Nothobranchius furzeri: one gene and its partners. The protein of the gene in region 1 binds, or shares a complex with, the protein of each later gene. Links are inferred from orthologs where the notes say so. Each region holds a gene or a part of one and is shown on either strand. Other genes may lie near its edges.

Region 1 (4,354 bases):
TTTTTACCTAATTTAGACCTGTCTCTTCTTTTTTAACTGTTATTTGTTAATGACAGTTGTTATAGATTTCTTTTTTTCACCATTTTCTCATCCTGAAATTCTATTTTACTTTTCCTAATTAATAAATTTGCTCCATTAGGAGTCAAATTAATTCCTCTGTATGACTTTTCCCTTATTTTGAATGAGTAACTAAGTGTATTTTTCCCCAAAACAATTTTTGTTAGATGGAATGACTTTCTGAGATAAGATAAAGGTGGAGAAAAAAATAACTTAAGGAAAAAAAACTGCAATATTTCTGATGGCACGCACTGTACCAAAATGGTCGATACGGTCTGCCTGGATTTCTTTTTATTTAACCTTTATTTATCCAGGAAAACCGTTTGAGAACCACTTCTCATTTACAAACATGATCGCACTGGTTAATTTCTATCAACTAATACCTCTTTCACTTTTCTATATTTTACTTTTTTGCATGAATTTTGATTCAGCAAATATTCAGATCCTATTTTATGGATAATACTGCATAAAGAGAGACATAATTTTCAATAAGTCGTTTCCCATTACTAAAACAGGAGCAGGGAAACGATTAATGTGTAATTATTAGACCTAGTTAAATAGGTAAAATGCATATCTAACCCCCTTTTCCAAAATTTGAACAAATTATTTTTAAACATTTTTTAGCTATATGCCCTTCTGTTAAAATAAACTAACCAAAATTTTTTTTAAATCTACTATTAATGTGCAGATGTATTTTTTTTACAATTCCACATTTAAACGTTTTCCCTTAATTTTGTTTCTTATGAAAATAGCCGGAACACTTTCTAATATATTTGTGTCCATGAATAATGTATCAGTACATCCACACTATACATGAGCTATCCACATTCCTGAATGTTTGCTTCAGTCATATGTGGCTTTAAGTTGCCACCGAGAGTTCATGCTGACAAAAAGCATCATTATTGTGGTTTCTGGAAAGTGCTGCCTGTATGTGGCTAATTATGTTTCCAGTAATGTACATGTTTTTCCACCAGTAGGTTTCCTCATATTGAATAAATGATGATAATGATAGAAGAACTAGCAAGTGCCAAATAGCTAAACAATGTTTTGAGCTTAAAAATATAATGTAAAAATCAATTAGACACTTCTGTATTGGAAATCAAATAAAAATAGAAGTAAAATAAACATATGACCCAGAATATCAACCAAATTATCTGTCAATACCCTCTTTTATTGGAAATGCTAATTAGCTACTATCCCTTTAACGGCGTTCGCTACTCGTAGGAATAGCCCATTTTTCTAAAAAGGGGGAAATCGGTGATTTCTTTTTCCCGTTTATTAAAGAAATATATAAAACTTAAGCATTGGAAACATACTCCATTTTGTTAAATTCAGAATTAAATGCATTCGAAGATGAAACTTTAACCAAAAGCCACTTTATTCTGTTTAATATTGTCACTAGAAACGGGTTTCCCCCCTCCGAGGCATTTCTATATATAGTATCAACTATTGCAATACAAAGATTAGCTACTCGCTGCATTGTTTGGCAGATGTGGGCAGCTCGCTCCCGTCTCTCTGTGCCGTTTAAAGGGCGGCGGCGATGAGGAGGAGCAGCATGTCGGTGTGAAGACGTTTCTTTCACCGTAGAGGAGTTCATTCCGGTAAGTAAGTAGCTGGCCCGCTCGGTCAAACGAATTAGCTCGTTCACGAATGTCTTAAAATCCCGGTCCGCTCTGTCTCTCTCCCTCTATCTCAGGAACAGTAACTTACTCAAGCGCCTTCCACTAATGACAGCTAGCTAACCGGTCAGAGAGGACGAGTTGTTTTAATTTAACGGGTTGTTTGTTTTCTAATCTTGGAAGAAAACCATGAAGCAGTTCAGGTCCGTTATTTGGGGGCGGCTACTGTCTTGTTTTCCATCGGCTGCTCACACAAGCGGGCCTTGGCTTTTCTGCGTGTCAAAATCGCCCATGGGGTCGAAAAAACCCAGTTCTGTCAGAAACGATCAGGGAAAACCCTTCATTTAGCCCTGCCATTCACACCAGCGGCGTCTGAGAAGCTGGATGTGAGGAGGACGACACTGAGGGATTCTTCATCAGATCATGGCATGAGATCACTCAGAAGCACCAGATTAAGACCTATTAATAGAAATGTGAAATCATCAGATCATTTCTCTGTCTGCAGGCGAAACGCTGGCATCATTATTCCACAAAAAGGCCAGCTGCTACACAGGATCGTCACGCAAATGTTGATGTCATTAGAAAAAAAAGTGCATTGCTTTTATCTTAAATTTAGGTGTTGTTTAATCACAAATAATCTGATTTTCAGAATGTTAATCTTAACTTAATCCAATTTATTCCATTGCTTAGAACGAGGAGGTGCAACTAAATTACACGCAGGATTACACAACGTTTCCAAAACTCTTAAGCTTGTGATCCACAAAATGCCAGACTTGTCTCCTAATACATCAAGGTAAAATATGAAAACATTATTGATATGTAATTTACAAAGTCTTTTGTCAATTGTGGTACAATATTTTATTTTTTGGCCCTTATTTATTTATTTATTTGCTGTTTTCAGCTTTTTATAATTTTTAAATGGAAATCTGGAGTTTCCCCCTTTCAGGAGTTATGTTGGCCTGGCAGGCTGTCCAATATGTGTAAATATATAGTCTGGCCACCACCATAGACAGAGCTACGTTACTGCATGCAGTTGGGCAACTTTGGGACCAATAGGAGCAATGAATATGACATCGTCATTGCCAAAGCCTGCTTCACGCTGGAGGCATCAGAATGTCGCTGCTTCAAACAGAATCCATTATAGTCTATGGGGGTGATGCGCAGAAATTTATGCGTCCCAGAAGCAACGCACCGCATCCCGCTCAAAGATGGGATTGATTTCTGTTTTTGCTGCGAGTTGCTTCTGGGACACATCAATTTCCGCAGTTTAACATGGGGCTAGACAGGAATTCACACACTGTTTTAGTGTAAGACGTCTGGTAATTTTCAAAATAAGACTATTGTAGCGATGCAATTTCATATCATGCAGATTACGTGAATACTGGCGACGTAACTGCTTTTTTAGTCCTAGCATCTTTGGAGAAGTGCAACGGTGTTTTTCATGGCTTTAATCCTGGCAGTGGAGAGGAACAACATTATATATATATATATGACATTAAACAGCCGCTCCGTGGCTGAGACTCTCCCGCTGTGGACTGGCGCGCAGCAAATCATGCTAGTAAACCATTCCAATGCCATTTCATGCCACTGATGCCTCCAGTGTGAAGGACCTGTAAGGAAATCTGTCAATGAGGCAGTTCAGCCTACATTGTTGAAGAAAATACACATAATTCTTTGGTAGGGATGAGCGAGTACACCACTATCTGTATCTGTATCTGTTCTACCATCTATTGGGCCATTCCCATCTGTACCGGGTCGGCCCGGGCCGGGTAGCCCCAGTCGGCCCCAGCCTGGCCCGGTTGATTCCACACATCCTTGCCTTAAGCCCATGTGGGCTGATTCTACCCACCAATCAGAGGCTTGCTCTAATGGAAGGTGTGAATTTGCTTTCAGCAGTGGGTGTGTTGGCCCTGGTCGGCCCTCGAGAAGAGGGCTGAGAGTGAGCCTCGGTTGCCCCGGAAAAATACCAGGCCACCCAGATATGTAAACAACCTACACTACCTGGCCCGGGCCAACCCGGTACAGATGGGAATGGCCCATAAATTATCTGTATCTGTACTCGGAGTGGGTGTGGCCTAACCAGGAAGTGGGTGTACGTTAACCGGAAGTGGGTGTGGTTTACATCAATACGTTATATTTTGTCTGATCAGAAGTTGCTATGTGTATTGTTTATTTGAAAACTATTTACAGAGCAGCATCAGAGTTGAGATTAAATGTTTTTGATCACAATAGTAAAGGAACTAATACAGAACAAGTTTTTCAATAAAATCAGAACATTGATATTTAAGTGCATGAATTGAGAGAGAGAAGAATAGATCTTTTCTAAAGCGCCTCTCAAGATAAAAATCACGGGGCGCTTCACAAAAACAAAACATGCAAAATAGACAAAAGAATTTAGAAAATTATTCAAATATATTTAAAATGATCAAAAAATAGACAGTTGTGATTAAAAAATGTAAAGAAAGAGACAGAGTGGAATAGGAAAGAGGGAGCAGATCCTGAGTATGAGGAGAGAGAAAAAAAAAACCCGACCGGAGAGGAGGCAGTGACTGACGCAGCACGAGCCGTTTTCAGCTGTCTTGTCAAATGCACCACGTACGTTACGAAAAAAGTAACTTTAAATAACTTTAAAGTAACTTTAAAAAGAAGCAAACTGAAGAAAACATGGGGCAGGGGGT
Region 2 (4,170 bases), on another chromosome or scaffold:
AAATAGTTTTGCCCGGTTACGTGCTTCAAGTCCTTCAGCTGCACTGGGGTGGAATTTATCTTGTGCCACTAGAAGTTGCATGAGCGTCACTATCAAAATATGTTTACTGGGAAACCGCAGAAAAATAAATGGGCTCATCACATGAACAAACCAATTAGCTCAATCAGTTCTTAGCTATTTAACACTTCAAACACAATAAGCCTCACATCAAAGCGCTGAGCCTGGCAGAACATGGTGCAGCAAACTGAACCCGCAACAGGTCAGTCGGCCATGACACCTCTGCTTGCATCCGACTCCCAACTTGTCTAGTATCTATCTATCTAGCTTTCTGTGGTCATCCCATTTTCTCTTTAATTTTTGTTCACGAATGTAACGAGTGTGGGCTTTAGTTGTGCATCACAAGTACAAGCCTGCATGAAAAACTCCAAGTGACCAATTATACTCAGAAATAAGACTAAAAATGGTTGTTACAGTGTTTTACACCTTAATATTTCTAGATACTAACAATTTATATTTGAGCTTCATGAATAAAGACTATTTAAAGGTTGAATATGGAACAATTTAATAAAAATCTATATATTTTTCAAAATTAATACCCCCACAAGGCATTATGCTGAATGAAGGTACAGTACTTCCTTTGAAAGATATATTTTAATAAAAAAATCTAATAATAATATAGATTAAATATATATTCTGACAGGCACGACACTGGGTTTATGTTTACATCTACCAGCCAATAGAGGGCACCGCTGTGGGTTGCCAAACAGCTTGCTGCGCACAGCGAGGCTGGCATTGTGGAAAACGGACGACTCGGCAAGTCAAGCAGCTGCTTCTGAGCCCAGATGTCATTATCCTTCTCAGTGAGTGTAGGTGAAGCCTACAACAGACGGACCCAAATGAAAAATGTCACGTATCGGCAGTGAACCTAGCTTGCAGATGACTGGAAACCTTGTTCTATTGTTGCAACTTTAATCTCCACACACTAGCTGTTGCTGTGGTGTTCGTGTTCCATATTCCACCTTTAACTACTATTCTTGTGCAAGATGCAAAGATGGATGCAAACTTATTTTTTTTACTGGAGGTAAGCATGTAATGTAGATCTGACCCATCATTCATGTAATTCATTAAGTTTAAATTAATGCCCTCAAAGTGTTTGGTTATAGCAAACGGTTTTGATCACCAGAAATAAATTAATGCCTTTCACCAACTAAGTGTTTTACCCTTTAGTGAGTTTGTGTGTAATCTGTCAAATTCCATTGCTTGGTTCTTTTCTACAGCTTTTCTGTTTTTGTCCTGACAAGACCCAGTGGTTGGAGTTCTTTGGAGGTTGTGTGTGTGTTATCATTATGCCAACGTTGGATCAAATTATTACTTTTTGTGCACTTCAACCAGTGGGTCAGAAGTCCTTGAGACTGCTAAATTTGGGACCTGGAGCCCAAAGTGTTTGAATGTCTGGATTACAACAATTTCTTTTGCTTATGAAATCAAGTTCATGGTGAGAAGTTTTGTCTGCATTTGTTGCACTCAAGGCTCCTTGAGAATCAGGAGGGTTTTATTGTCATTTATGCGAGAATCCCATTAGGAAATTGGTGCAGTACTTGGAGCAAGAAAAAATTAATGATATGCTAAATTTTAAACGAATAAACACAATGAAATGACAATGTAGGGAGACAAAAATTAGTGAATCAGCTACGTTATACAAGTCAGTGTAGGTATTGGTCAGAGTGGGTCAGTTCAGGTGTAGGCACACCATAGGGTCATATGGTCCCGCTGCACAATCATATTGTGAAAGTTGAAATACTTGTAAAAGTCCTTATGTCCATTTAGAAATTGTATGAAGAGCACTTTTTCAGCCAATAAAGACAGAAGGAACCCACACCTTACACATGTGATAAAGACTTAAAATAGCACAATCTTAGTTTGTAAAAGGTAACTAAATGACTACAACCGATCTGTCTGTACAAACATTACCTTGAATCAGAGTAATGATCTTTTTACTTACAGAACCATTTCAAATCCTCCAACTACCAACAATGCTGCTCAAACCCAAAATATATAGTTTACATAAAATGATAAACAAGAAATGAAATGTCTACAGAAAAGGCTACAAAATAAAAAAAAAACATTTGGTTTACATCTGAAGACATTATGAAGTTCATACACCACTGTGTACAGTCATGCATTTGATTTAAATTAAGAACAAATAAAGAGAAACCGTGAGGATGGAGCCGGTTATCAGAGAAACTTGAGTAAAATAAAAACATTTTGTGTAAAAAATATCCAACTGCGGCGGCGGAGAAAAGAAACACAAAACAGCCACTTTATCGTGTCTTTAACCTTTTTTACTGGCCAACCTAGTTAACAGTTTACCACCATCTAGCATTTACAAGCTCACAAAAATATAATCTGCTACGTAACGGACAGAATATTTCTCACCTTCCAGGAGACGCTGAATTATAGAGTCGATGTTTAATTTGTCCGGCTCCGCCATTTTCTGTATTTTCTGACGTTATCGGGAAGTCGAGACCTTGGTTTTCACCTTATAATGAAAGAATAAAGACAACAAGATATGCGTGCCTGTTGTTAGTCATAAAATATGTCACCGCTCACATTTTGTTATTAACGAATCTACCGCGCTGATGAATCTAGCAACAGAGAATAATCAATGAGCTTAGCGGAGATCGAGCTAACGACGCCGCTAGCCAAATAGCATTAGCTACACTTTTTTTTTAAACAAACTTTATTGAATCCAGCCGAAGTAAGCTACAGATACACATTACTAGACCACGGATCGTTAGCTCTAGCAATGCATTAAATGTTTCCAGACCTTAGAGTGATGTCTACCCTGCTGTTACTTCAACCCTGGAACTTAAATATCTCTGAGTCGAATTGTGGCCGTTTTCCTCCTTTGTCGAGGTCGCGCAACTCTTCCCACCACCACCCCCCCACCAGGAACTTTAAAAGAAGGCCGTTTAAATCGAGCGTCTACTGTAACACGAGGGGCTGAATCAAACTTAAGACGTCACACATTTCTCGAATGATGATTGGTCTATGGAACATTTCAGAAGTCATTGTCGAATCCTATTGGTTGACTGCTGAATCTGTCCGAAAACGAGCCTCCGCCCCTTGTCTTTCACAACGGCTCAGATTTCTAACTCAATTTGCGCCACCACGTGTTCATATAGAAGAAATAACCAACTCAAATAGAAATCTAGTCAAAGATGTGGAAACACTGGTATTACAGTCTTTTTTAGGAGTTACTATATTGTATACTTTTCACACTACTGTTATTACTGTCTCTTGTTTTTGTTTTCATAATTGTTTTGTCTCTTGTGCTTTAGCCTGTCATGTTGTGCTAATTTCATTTTATCAAATCTGTACAATGTTTACTTATTTATTTTATTTCTCCACCTCTGTGAATTGGACTAAGAGTCTTTAAAGCCTGGTTCAAAAAAAAATTTTTTTAGGTTGATTAATAATAATTAAAGTAAAGAATTTGAGTCTCACAAAAACATTACGGCAAGTCTGATCACGTAAAAACAACAGTCACTTCCTGCTTCCTGTTCTCAAGTCCCGTGTGACGTGACTATCGTAGGGCTCTCCATGAAGCGCTCAGCGTTCCTGTGTGACTACTTCTCAAAATCTTGGGTGCAACGCGGCACGTCCGCCTCCGGTGTGCCCCAGCTAGATCTCCACAAGCAACCAGCATAACTAAAGCCTCACACCCAAGCGAGTTGGCTACCCCAGTCTCTGGAACCCTTCTTGAGTTACCTAAGTAAGTTAGTAGCTACACTGACTCATTTGTTCCAACCTGTTCCAACACTGTTCCAAACGTGACAGCCCCACCCTCAGCTCCACCTCTATTCCCATTTTTGGATTGTTTGGGCGTGACAAGATGTGTGACTCGGTCAAACAGGCAGTGGTGGGAACCTCCCATTTGGAAACAAAACCTTATAATTAATGCATATGAAAATTGAGTGCAGCTCATGAAAAATGGGAGCAAAAACAAGTGTTGCATTTATATTTTTGTTCAGTGCATATATTGGACATTTAAACATCTGAAATTTTGTCTACAAACACAAAAGATCCATGACTCTCAAATAGTGTTCTGAAATCTGTCTACGTGTAGTGAGCACTTTTCCTTTACCAAGATAATCCATCCTACCTCAC
Region 3 (4,496 bases), on another chromosome or scaffold:
TATCAAGATAGCACTTTTAACAGCATTATACTGGATATCGTACTGCACACCATATTCAGAACAGATATTCAGGAGCTGCTGTAAACCAGCACTACTTGGACTGAAGACCACCAGGTCATCAGCATACAAATTAAATAAGATAGACAGAATTCCACCCTGCCTAACACCATTACTAACACCAAATGGTGCAGAGATGCTGCCACCCCATTTAACCTGCATCATCTGATGAGCATACCAGTAAGACAGGATTCTCACAATAACCCCAGGGACCCCCCGTAGCTTTAACTTAATAAAAGGTTTTCTGTGGTTTACACGATCAAAAGCCTTAGAAGCATCAATAAAACACATAAGGACAGAAGAAGTTCTATTTCTATACCGGTTCACCATTTCTTTAAGTGCGTATATACACATGTCAGTACCAAGTTTTGGCTTAAAGCCAAACTGATTATCCAAGGAATTAAGGTACACAGTGATTCTATCAAATATGATTATTTCTAGATAAAACACTGGCTAGTGCAATCGGCCTATAATTATCTATACTGGTCACCTTCCCAGATTTGTTCTTAATAACTGGGACAAGCAGAATTGCCATCATTGAGTCTGGTAGTATGCCATGAATCATAAACCCTGTAAAACAAAGAGCTAAAAGGGAAGCTAGCCTTAGGCTAGTATATTTCAAATGTTCTGCACTAATGTGATCCAGACCACAAGCCTTGTTATCAGCTAGTTTGTGAATAGCTTCATGCACCTCATGGGTCGTTAAACATCTATATGTTCATCATTAATAACAGAGCCATCCTCATACCGATCACTTTTTAAACAATTTTACATTGCATAATAATGTTGTCTCCATAATGCTGCAATATTATCTTTCCCATTGATCTGCTATTTTTTAAAAGTGCATTTTAATTAATTACTCCATAATTATCTTGTAATAAGCTGATGTTCCCTTCAGATAAGAAAATATAAGTCAATCATGCAGCTTTTCTATTTCATAACGAATCAAATTCTACAGTATAATATGTAAAAAGAAACTTTCTTAATTTACATAGGTGTGTGTGTGTGTGTGTGTGTGTGTGTGTGTGTGTGTGTGTGTGTGTGTGTGTGTGTGTGTGTGTGTGTGTGTGTGTGTGTGTGTGTGTGTGTGTGTGTGTGTGTGTGTGTGTGTGTGTGTGTGTGTGTGTGTGTGTGTGCAAATTATGTATAAATTATATATTTTTTCTTTTTCTTTTTCACCCTATGACAAGGCCCAGACAGACATAAATACATTTCTGAACAGATTGCTCTTATAAGACGTCTTGATATTCCTGGTAAATGTGAATATCTGCCATGACACTTTCTGCTGCTTCTCCGTAGACATGAATGTCTGTGTGCTACCCATCGACATGTGCATATACTCCAGGTGCCACCTGCAGCTTTGTCGTGTTTATAATAATATGCTCAGGCGTTCTCACATCCAGACCAGTAGGAGGCAGCAGCGGTTTAGTTAGCAGCAGCTAGCTCTTAGCAGCTAGTTAGCAAGGTGCGGCAGCGGAAAAGGAAAACAGACTGGTCTCCTCTCCGCGCTAGCGCAGCTTACGTACATTTTTATGTCGCGGTTTTTATGAAGACGTACACTAGATTTTACTGAGAACAAATATTGCGATTTTTTTAAGTAGCTTATTATATTTTATGAATTATTAGCCAGCACGTAAACAGATACTGGGTTGATCTGAAATATTTCACGCTAAACCGGAAAATCAATATCGCTAAGACGATAGCTAATGCTAGGATAGCTAGCGGGTTAGCTCTCCGAACTGAAAGACCTACCTTTGGCTGAGTTCATTTAGTAAACGACTGCAATGGCTGATGTTGACAAACTCAACATAGACAGTATTATTCAACGTCTTTTAGAAGGCAAGTATGTTCATAAATGTTGTACATTTACACAAATTTTGACGCTTTACAAACAGGCAGCGCATTATATCATGAAACCCGTTTGCTAATGTTTTCCGTTATTATTGGTTTTACTCCCGAATTGACATCTAATGTGTTTTAATTGTAAATTTTCAATATAATCAAATGACAATGAAAGATTTGTAAAAACAGTTACTAAACTATATTAACGTAGTTGCGCATACCGGCGCTAGTCCGCCTTTGCGTGACCTATGATTTTAGCCGCTGCTGCTGGCTTTTATTCCTTCTCATCTACAGTAGATGATCTACTATTATACATATGAACATGTTTACTATATTTTAAACCAACAAAATAAACTTCGTAACGCTTGTCCCGATAGAATATAATAGTATGATGATGCATCTCGTACAAATACGTATGTTACTTCCTACATTTCCAAACAAATACTGCATCAGGCACTGCTGACAAAGCAGCAATAGTTATGTTGTTTTTTTGCTGACTGATGTTTGTGTTTTCTCTGCAGTCAGAGGAGCAAAGCCTGGGAAGAATGTGCAGTTGCAGGAGAATGAGATTCGTGGATTGTGCCTGAAGTCCAGGGAGATTTTTCTCAGTCAACCCATTCTTCTGGAGCTGGAGGCCCCTCTCAAAATATGTGGTTAGTAAAAACCATCATTTTTTTATTTACTGTTGCTTATTAATAAACGTTTTTCTCTTCGAGCTAGATTCTACCAATTACATAAATGTCAACATTTGATTCCAAAGTTAAAAGCTTGCTTGTCCAGTTTTTGCAGGTGCATTATTTATTTATTTATTGCTGTTTGTTTTGTTTTGCAGGTGACATTCATGGGCAATACTATGACCTGCTGAGGCTGTTTGAGTATGGAGGCTTTCCTCCAGAGAGCAACTACCTGTTTCTGGGCGACTATGTGGACAGGGGGAAGCAGTCTTTGGAAACCATCTGTCTTCTGCTGGCCTACAAAATCAAATACCCAGAGAACTTCTTCCTGCTGAGGGGAAACCATGAGTGTGCTTCAATCAACAGAATATACGGTTTCTATGATGAGTGTGAGCAGCTTGCCATTTAATTGTGTCACTGTTTGGTCTCTTGTGTGAACTTGCAGCAGCTTTCATGTTGTTAAACGTTTACCCCGGGTTTCCACGGGAGCCGTCAGCAGCACGTTACTGCAGCAGCACGTCTTGCTCGCGTAAGCTGCTGCTTGGCCCTTCCCACGAGACGCGAAGCAGCAGGGGAGCAGCTGTCACCGACAGAGCACGAAGTCACACGAGTGACTTCGTCAGTAAACACAACAACAAGCAGGAGAAAACTACAACATGGTTTGGGTTTTATGTTCTGTCCGTTTTATAATGGCCAATACGGACCTGAAAACAAAGGAGACCGCTAGCTAGGTGATAACTTCTCATGGGGACGCACAGTTAGTAACCTTTTTTAAAAGTAAAGCAACCGGAAGGCAGTACGTTCTTTATTCTGAAAATCTCTGTAGCTTCTCTCCTTTTCCGCGTCAGATTTCCTGTCTTTCCTTCCCCAAAAATGTCGAACTTGACCCGTTTCAGAGGCGTCGCGCGTAGAAAATAGAACTGGCGCGTAAAGGCTGCGACATGCTGCTCCTGAGACGCGGCCGACTCGCGCTGCTGACGGCTCCTGTGGAAAGCCGGGGTTAGTGAAAACTTGAATTTTTGTTGCTGTTGTGCCTTCAAAATAAAAGCATAACTATTTGTCTTGTTTTAGGTAAACGAAGGTACAACATCAAACTCTGGAAGACCTTCACGGATTGTTTTAATTGCCTCCCTATTGCTGCCATTGTGGATGAAAAGATATTTTGCTGTCATGGAGGTGTGTTTTGTCTTTAACAGAATATTGATGTTTAATCAGAACGTTTATGTTGCCTAGTGGAAAGCAGCTCGTCAGAAGAGGCTTGGCTTTGACGTCAGCCGTTCTTATTTGTCATTGTGAAATGATGTTGACTGGTGTTTGCAGCGACCCATGTGAAGTAGGTCTGACCTCTGTATCAGTTTGTTTGTTTGTACAACTGCTGTGTTGTTGCTTTCAGGACTGTCACCTGACCTTCAGTCGATGGAGCAGATCAGACGCATCATGCGGCCCACGGACGTGCCTGACCAGGGCCTCCTGTGTGATCTGCTTTGGTCCGATCCAGACAAAGATGTTTTGGGCTGGGGCGAGAATGACAGGGGGGTCTCGTTCACCTTCGGCTCAGAGGTGGTTGCCAAGTTTCTGCACAAGCATGACCTCGATCTGATCTGCCGTGCTCATCAGGTAACTGTGCTCACACGGTGGTGCATGGACATCGCGTCCTGTGCTGGCAAACTGTAGACTAAAGAGGAGGCCAGGTGCTCTTCTTACATTATGATCCCGGTGGGAAAGGAGGATTGTTCCTCTCAAATGGAGGGAATAGAAGCTAGCTCTCATTCACTCCTCCATGAAGGTCCTGATAATGTAAACAGAGAAGCATAAAACAGGATGTTAGCTGCAGACTGAAACAGATCCTGTTCAACTCATCCGCTGATTAATGTGTTTATGTAAGAACACACATAGTAGTGTTGTGTTTAGATCAGTCATATG

The links. The genes of interacting proteins can lie anywhere in the genome.
Region 2: the proteins of mrasa (region 1) and ppp1caa are in contact, whole or in part, in a crystal structure (PDB 7TXH), measured with the Homo sapiens proteins. The link is inferred for Nothobranchius furzeri from reciprocal best matches to the Homo sapiens genes MRAS and PPP1CA. Residues at the interface, in NP_001078518.1 of Homo sapiens: Val6, Pro7, Ile31, Gln35, Lys36, Ile37, Val39, Asp48, Ser49, Tyr50, Leu51, Lys52, His53; in NP_002699.1 of Homo sapiens: Pro178, Asp179, Gln181, Gln185, Arg188, Ile189, Met190, Pro192, Thr193, Pro196, Asp197, Gln198, Trp216, Gly217, Glu218, Phe225.
Region 3: the proteins of mrasa (region 1) and ppp1cc are in contact, whole or in part, in a cryo-EM structure (PDB 7SD0), measured with the Homo sapiens proteins. The link is inferred for Nothobranchius furzeri from reciprocal best matches to the Homo sapiens genes MRAS and PPP1CC. Residues at the interface, in NP_001078518.1 of Homo sapiens: Ala5, Ile31, Gln35, Lys36, Ile37, Val39, Asp41, Glu47, Asp48, Ser49, Leu51, Lys52, His53; in NP_002701.1 of Homo sapiens: Pro178, Asp179, Gln181, Gln185, Arg188, Ile189, Met190, Thr193, Asp194, Pro196, Gln198, Leu201, Trp216.

What each region holds. Positions count from the first base shown.
Region 1 is NC_091754.1:14,865,362-14,869,715, forward strand, and holds the start of mrasa (ras-related protein M-Ras), read left to right. Parts: upstream 1-1,521; 5' UTR 1,522-1,658; intron 1,659-4,354. UniProt on the Homo sapiens protein: Signal transducer in the Ras-MAPK signaling pathway that regulates cell proliferation and survival. Core component of the SHOC2-MRAS-PP1c (SMP) holophosphatase complex that regulates the MAPK pathway activation.
Region 2 is NC_091745.1:8,628,248-8,632,417, forward strand, and holds the start of ppp1caa (protein phosphatase 1, catalytic subunit, alpha isozyme a), read right to left. Parts: upstream 2,965-4,170; 5' UTR 2,828-2,964; intron 2,540-2,827; 5' UTR 2,492-2,539; coding exon 2,437-2,491; intron 1-2,436. UniProt on the Homo sapiens protein: Protein phosphatase that associates with over 200 regulatory proteins to form highly specific holoenzymes which dephosphorylate hundreds of biological targets.
Region 3 is NC_091757.1:28,392,084-28,396,579, reverse strand, and holds the start of ppp1cc (serine/threonine-protein phosphatase PP1-gamma catalytic subunit A), read left to right. Parts: upstream 1-1,532; 5' UTR 1,533-1,841; coding exon 1,842-1,896; intron 1,897-2,420; coding exon 2,421-2,552; intron 2,553-2,731; coding exon 2,732-2,962; intron 2,963-3,644; coding exon 3,645-3,749; intron 3,750-3,966; coding exon 3,967-4,190; intron 4,191-4,496. UniProt on the Homo sapiens protein: Protein phosphatase that associates with over 200 regulatory proteins to form highly specific holoenzymes which dephosphorylate hundreds of biological targets.